2 linked regions of the Kluyveromyces lactis genome follow. The protein of the gene in region 2 interacts with the protein of the main gene of each other region in a pairwise test. Links are inferred from orthologs where the notes say so. Each region holds a gene or a part of one and is shown on either strand. Other genes may lie near its edges.

Region 1 (3,463 bases), about 620 kb from region 2:
TAATGCTTGAGAAATTGAGTAGTTACTTCACGGGACCAGAGTTGTCTGATCCATTGCTAAGCTGGTCATTTGATCCATCTTCTGAAAACTTGTACTATAGACATTTGCATGAAGCCTTGATATCTTTTGTGGTGTATCAATTCATTCTATATCCATTTGTGGTGCCAAAACTTAACGAATGGTTCTTCAAAGAGCATTACACAGAAAGGGATGAACCTGACAAAATTAATTTCGATATTCATACCGTGTCTATGATCCAGAGCGTTGTCTCCCTGTACTTGATCTGGCCGTTATTATGGATTCCTTTTGGATTTAATGTGGCAACTTACTACAATTCTTATGCTTCCATGGTTTCTGCCGTTAGTATTGGGTATTTCATGTGGGATCTGTATATCTGTCTGAGGTACTTCAAATTGTTCGGTATTGGATTCTTGTTCCACGCTGTGGCAGCATTCGCTGTTCTGACCATTACCTTGCACCCGGTATGCCAAGCATGGATCGGAAGATTCTTGTCATTCGAGGCCTCAACTCCGTTTGTCAACATCAATTGGTACATCATCCAATTGTCCCGTGGATCCTCGAAGCAGGTGGTTCCTACCTGGTTCAACGTATTGAATGGGTTCTTGTTGATCTCAGTATTTTTCTTCGTCAGATTGGTATGGGGGTTCGTCGCTGTTGCGATTTTGATCTACGAGATGTGGCAAGTGTGGGATCAAATCCCATTATACATGACTGCCGTTATCTTGGGTATCAACGTCTCACTAGACTTCTTGAATATCCACTGGTTCTCTAAGATGTTGAAAATTGCTAAAAAGATGGCTAATGGATCTAAAAGAGTCTCCAAAATTGATTGAGTCCTTATCGTTGTCAGATCAGATCAGATCTGCTGACTGATTGTCTGTTTCATTATATATAAAAATCAACGTACTACATAGAAATGCCCAGCACCAAAACTGGATTTATAAGAAATAAAGATCACACGGTTATGAATTCTTCGCCAGATTCACTGATCAATTGAAGTAGTCAGCTAACCTTCAGGAGTGTTCCAAAGGGATATATTTGCCCATTTGAACGTGTGTGCCTTTTATTTTCGCAGGCACTAAATTCTCATCATGACCTTTAAGTGAGCATAAAATTTGAAAATACAAAACCGCAAAGAACTGCATTGACTTGTTTGAAGAATATAGAAGGAGAGAAGGCTAGAGTACTTGGTATTATTCGAACAGTGTGCTTCTAGTGCTTCATTTCCCCTTTATTTACCAGGGCTTTACTAAGTTAGGCAAGAAACACCGTTAGGAGCTGATTATCTGGCAATTTTGATTCGAATCATTAAATATATTCCTTTCTGCTTCTTTGCATATTGAACTAAAAATAAAGGTCAATTAACACTTAGCTTCGAGAAGAAAACATAGATTGTAGGGCATTGATCACCTCATTATAGTTATATTAATGATGGGAATTGTTGACATACTTCAAGATATCCTGGATTCATCTTCCATACCATGGAAAACCATTATTACGGGGTTCACTGTGGCGCAATTTGGATTTGAAACCTATTTGACTTACCGTCAATATTTGGCTCTATCCAATAAGAATTTGCCTCCCGTGCTAGTTGGTGAAATTGATGATGAGACGTTCCAAAAATCGGAAGCTTACTCAAGAGCCAAGTCTAAGTTTTCAATTGTATCGAATGTCATTAACTTGGCTCAGAATTTGATCTTCATCAAGTTCGATATTTTACCAAAGCTATGGCACCTGGGCAACAGCTTTGCCCAATATTTCCCAAGCAGGTTCTTTCCTACTTCTACCATTGCCCAATCCTTGTACTTTTTAACCGTCATGTCCAATTTGTCCGCTTTGATGGGTCTGCCATTGAGTTATTACCAACATTTCGTCTTGGAAGAGAAGTTTGGTTTCAACAAATTGACCATTAAGTTATGGATCTCTGATATGATTAAGAGCAGTCTGCTAGGTGCTGTCATTGGTACTCCGGTATTGTACTTGTTCTTAAAGATTTTTGAAAAATTCCCATCCAATTTCTTGTGGTACATCTGTCTATTCATTCTTGTGGTTCAAATCCTTGCTTTGACTATTATCCCAGTGTTTATCATGCCATTGTTCAACAAATTCACTCCATTAGAAGATGGCGAGTTGAAGACCGAAATTGAAAACTTGGCTAAAAAGGTAGGATTTCCATTGGACAAAATTTTCATCGTGGATGGTTCCAAGAGATCTTCTCATTCTAACGCTTATTTCACGGGTCTCCCATTTACCAGTAAGCGTATTGTCTTATATGATACCTTAGTCAACGATTCTACCACCGATGAAATTGTTGCTGTTTTGGCTCATGAAATTGGTCACTGGCAAAAATCTCATTTGTTGCGGATGCTAGCCTTCAGTGAAACTCATATTTTCTTGGTATTTTCCCTCTTCACCGCTGCTTATCAAAACAAATCATTATACAACGCATTTGGATTCTTCGCCGGTTCTGGTTCCTCATCTGATATCTCCAAGGTTATTACCCCTCAATATCCAATTATCATCGGATTCCTTTTGTTCAATGACTTATTACAACCGCTAGACTGTCTTTCTACATTTTTGACAAACTTAGTCTCAAGAGCTCATGAATACCAATCTGATGCTTACGCTAAGGAATTGGGCTACGCCCCTCATTTAGCCAGAGCATTGATCAACCTTCAAATCAAGAATCTTTCTACTATGAATGTTGATCCATTATATTCAAGTTATCATTACTCTCATCCAACGTTGGCCGAAAGATTGATCGCTATCGAATACAAGAACGAGAAGAAAGACCAGTAGTTTGCAAACAAAAAAGGCATTCAATTTACTGTTTACAGATCACTAGATAAGCAGCAGTACTTATCGTTAACAAACAGAGTGCTATTTTCAAAGTTTGTATAGTAAGATTAGTCTCTGTGGTATTTTGCAGTACATAGTTTAGCATTTTTATTATTCTATATATATGCGCTTTTTAAAGCCATAATGCAAATATTGTACCTGTTTTCCTAATATAAGATGTTAATCACCTTTATCCGTAAGACAACCACATCTTTCACTGAGTCTTGCAGCATTACAGGCCGGCATTTAGGCGTTGTTGCCGTATGTCTCTTGTTCTTTTCAATATTTACGTATACAACGACTCCAGCGTCTTTATTGCCATTTGAAAGTTAACTTGGGATTCCTTTAAAAGTTCAAACGTAACAACAATCATATAAACTGTTTGCCACTCATAAAAGGGAAGGCAACAACCCGCTCTAGAGACTGCAAAACATCTGACAGAGTACTCCAGCTTGTCAATTAAAAAGATATTCGATGTCTAGTGACGCTATGGATATTGATTCGGTCCCAGAGGCCGCGGTCGATAACAATTCTAATGAGGATGCCGTTGTGGATAAACTTCTTGAAATCCTCAAGCAGGTTTCTAAGAGTACATTATCAATGG
Region 2 (4,382 bases):
TCCCACAAGCTCCATTGCGATGATGAATTGCATTGAGAAACAAAAAGTACCACAAAGATCCTTCACTAAGACCAACTCAAACAAATTGTGGACAGTAGAGTTAATCCAACGTCTTCTTTGGGAAAGCAAAACTTTGAAAGTGGCTGGAACAACGGTTTTACAAGCAGCCTTAGGAACAAAAACTGTTTTACGTTTGGGGAATGTTTTCAAAAGTAGTGATGATAGATATCTATCTTCACCTAATAATAATAGATTCTTCTTATGCAATGTGTCCGTAACGTTATCTGAATACCTTTCGACGATATCCGGATTCGCAAGAATAGGAACCCAAAATCCGTCTTTACCTTTCGGCGTCTTAATTCTATAAACAGAAAAACAACCTGGCAAACACGTTACGGAACCGAAAACCGATTCAAACGCCTTAGACTGATGATGAGAAATAAAATACTCAAAAACTTGGATTGCACTAACCCACGATTCACCTTTATTGGCGATTTTAGTCTCACCGCACAATCCCATGATTAATGGATCATGCACCATTTCTGAAAGCATATGAGTCAAAGAGTCTGGGAAAACCTTAGTATCTGCATCAACCATTAATACTGTTTCATAAAAATTAGCCATTAACCCTGTAATTTGCCATATATTTTTCATTAGTTGGAACTCTAAAGCCGACATTCTTTCATCAAAAGTCACTTTTTGTAGGAAAGACATCAATATAATTTGTGAATCACGCTTACCTCTGTTACCAGGCTTCGCTGAGCCTTGTTCTTCAGCTGTACCACATTTTACAATGGTGATAATTGGAACACGTTGCTGATTTTCGGCGGGTATGGTGGATTCATCGTATTTATAAAACCCAGCATATATTTTTGCCATATTATGTCTTTTTGCGCCAACTGCAATTGCAACGTAAGGATAAGCTGTAACTTGCTCCTTGGGAATCACAAAGTCTTCCATCATATCTAATACTATGTCCGGGGTGGTTCTGTCATTACCAGAACCTTTAATAATACCATCGCAGATTACAACGATTAATTTATGAGAGTTTGGATAATCTGTGGTTGCAATGGAATCTAATGTTGTTCTTAAACCTACCTCATCTTCTGAATAACAGGTGACACAGCAGAGTGAGTGAACCAATGGAAATCCATAGGGCATGAAGTCTGGGGGCGGCTGTAATACTGCATCGGGGTGAATGATCGTTGGATCTAACGATTCCATAGTCATTGAAGTACCGAAAGGATCAAGATTGTCGGAAAAAGGATTAATAGTGGAGACCGGTCTTGACTGCGAGGCGAATCCAGCATGTGCACTTTTTCTCTTCATTTCATTCATATATGCTGATTTCAGCACGGATTGTGTAGTCATTGTAGACATACCAGTACTTTCAAGGCTCTGAATGACAGGATCATTCAAGTGTACAGATTTACCCAATGATTGTTGGCTAAATCGGGATTTACGGTTGAATAAACTGATACTGGAGCTGTTTTTTTTATGATTTTTCTTCATTGGTCTTAATGATGGATCAACGGGCTTCAAAGGACCACGAGAATTGATATCTTCTGACCAATCTTCTAAGTCGTTATTATGTTTGGCGAGTTGTTTGTTGTCAACAGTGTACGCACCTTGTTTTTTTGCTACAAAGTAGTGGAAGTAGCACGCGATGAAGAATTTACAACCGACAACGGATAGAATGAATACCAAAGATAAATATAATACCACTTGAGAAGCAATACAGCCGATACTTTCTGAATCAATAACACCAACCTTAGCAAGTTCAACGAGACAACGGGCTACATTTCTTTCTCTGCTAGTGGATAAGACCAATGAAATGTCATAACCTTCTAAATTGGCTGATTTCAAGACATCAAATGTCTCTGGATATGTAAGATCGTCAGTTTCTAGCCAGTCTAAGATCCCCAAATCAATAACGTCACCATTATATACAATCAACTTTCTCGTAGAATTTTTAATATCCTCCCAGGAGAAGTATACCTCCGCCGGGGCATTAAGGGCATAGTACTGTTCCCTGGCAGTCGAGCTCGTGTGACAACCCCAGCCAGCGTAGTATTCTGACTCTGTGAAGTTAGGTTTACTTGAACCATCTTGGTTAACAAGTTTGCATGGGAAGTACCATGCCATATTTCCGTCGTCATCGAAAGGAATAGTAGAATTTTCTCTTGGTTCAATCAACCCTTTGCAGTTACCGTTAACGTTTTGGAAAAGGAAAGACGCGTCCATGCCACCAGCATTCACAGGAGGATATAGAATATTAGATCCCCCAGGGATACCAGCTGCAGCTGGATGAGAAGAAGATTCTAGAGAGTATGCCTGTCCATGAATAATTAATTGTCCTGTGGTGGCTTCATTGTTGCGCATCCTTACTTTGCCTGGAACACAGACAGTTCTTGTGAACCCGAAAGTCAGGTAAGCGACAAACGCTCCAATATAAAAGATGATTGAAATCAACCCAATTTTATCTCTCCATGCTCTTTGAACCGCTTTTGTCTTCATGCCAAACAATTTTAAAACGGAAGGAGGAATGAAGATTGTAATCAAAAAACAGTACGATTGCCATAACGAAAAGCCCACTTTGGGCTTGTTTTGATCTTTGGCCTTAGATTCTAACCTTTGTCCGATCTCTATTGGAGGAGACACGTTCTTTTCTGAATAAATACTGTTTTTCTTTTCAAACCCATCGCTACCCTCCATTACCAACCTTTCATTTGGTTCACCATATTCACCCACTGTGTTCAAAGAAGAACTTGGAAGTTTATCGTTTGACTGTACATTCAGGTCTTGCATTGGAATATCCAACGAGGACTCTTCAGGCAAAGCACCTGTTGTGGAAGGATTGATCTGAAGATGAGTTTCCTTCGCTTTTAAAGCATAATAATGGTATGGATGGTCTGGATCTTTAAAACTATTTCTTTCAGGTCTGACCAAAGAGCCTTGTCTTGAAATCTGTCTCTGAGACCGAGATTTCAACAGTGACTCGTTGTCAAATGCATAGTAATCATCAGACATGAGGGTCTAAATGATATTGTGTTCAAAATGAAGAAATCGGACAACAAAAAAAACCACAGTCGAAAATAAATAGATATATGACCTCAAATGATGGTAGAAAACAGCAGTTAATATCCGTAATGTGAAATGAATAGAACAGACAATGTTGCTATTATTTTATTGTCAATATTTTTTTTCCGAGTTTTAAGTCAATTACTATTTTTATCACAGATCAGATTCTTTAGTATTGAAACGAATGGGGACTAAATGCACCGAATGGTATGTATGCAACACTCTAACCGCACGTATGATAAAAGCAGAAAACAACAGGGTATCTTCGAAGGGAAATCTCACGATTGGTGCGCAGTCTGCAACATGTAAATATTTCAAGAATTAGACATAAACAATGACAATAATATTAATGTTCTAATGCTGATGATGGAGATGATGGTTTCTGTGTTAGCTTTTTCGAAACCTGGGATTTACTTCAGATTATATTTACCCGGATATTTCATGGGAATGGCGTCCATTCTTTTACCCGATTGGGTTAAAGGACTTGTCACGTGAGGCTACTCCTAATCAAGAATTTTCTCGGATATTCCGGAGCACAAGCGGTGCGTGTGTTCCCGGGTTCGAATCTTTAGGGGACCAGTAATATATATATATATATATATATATATATTACGATGTGTGCTGCAACAAGTTACAGAGTAAAAGAGATCGACACATGAGCCGGTGATGAGGAAAAAAGCCTGATCCAAGCAACCACGGCAAGTACCGACCTGAGATCTCGGGTATGGTGATCCTGTATATGATATGATTATCATGAACTTTTTTTCCGAATCTGATTCCGTTCTTCGAATTGGCAACTGTTTAGTTTATTTGGAACCCTATCTCGCATTTGATAACGTCGCAAAAAAAAATGGACTACCTAGATAGAATTAGGTTAAAGGCTGCAACTCGATAAGCGAGAGATATCGATAGGTTGCAAGATATTGACTATAAGACATGTTTCAAAACATAAATATATATATATGTATACTAGAGTTGGTATTCTTGTTTGTCTCCAGGTTATGATGTTCCCTTTCCTGTTCAGTATGGAGCTAGTTTGAGCTACAAACAATACATAAACATCAAAAAAGAAAACTTATGACATCTACCATTGCTCCAACAACTACAACTACAACTACTGATTCTGCGACAGGCACAATCAATCTCGTCGGCCATGTTCCTTTGCAGATTGCTCCTGGAAGATTGAACGATACAATCTTATCTACCGGCAGCGAATTTGGAGGTGTTGCCAGATGGGGTGAAGAACGTCACGAATTTGGTATGAGGAGACTTGCAGGGACCGAATTAGACGGTAAGATGAG

What was found.
Region 1: the proteins of CHS3 (region 2) and STE24 interact in a two-hybrid assay, tested with the Saccharomyces cerevisiae proteins (2 studies listed by BioGRID, with this or other methods). The link is inferred for Kluyveromyces lactis from reciprocal best matches to the Saccharomyces cerevisiae genes CHS3 and STE24.

What each region holds. Positions count from the first base shown.
Region 1 is NC_006040.1:924,369-927,831, reverse strand, and holds STE24 (zinc metalloprotease), read left to right. Parts: upstream 1-1,449; coding exon 1,450-2,820; downstream 2,821-3,463. Other genes in the region: TDA4 (Tda4p), read left to right, coding at 3-854; proteasome regulatory particle lid subunit RPN3, read left to right, coding at 3,334-3,463. UniProt on the Saccharomyces cerevisiae protein: Proteolytically removes the C-terminal three residues of farnesylated A-factor mating pheromone. Also acts to cleave the N-terminal extension of the pheromone. Does not act on Ras.
Region 2 is NC_006040.1:301,747-306,128, forward strand, and holds the start of CHS3 (chitin synthase CHS3), read right to left. Parts: upstream 3,031-4,382; coding exon 1-3,030. Other genes in the region: KLLA0_D03520g (M20 family metallo-hydrolase), read left to right, coding at 4,159-4,382. UniProt on the Saccharomyces cerevisiae protein: Polymerizes chitin, a structural polymer of the cell wall and septum, by transferring the sugar moiety of UDP-GlcNAc to the non-reducing end of the growing chitin polymer.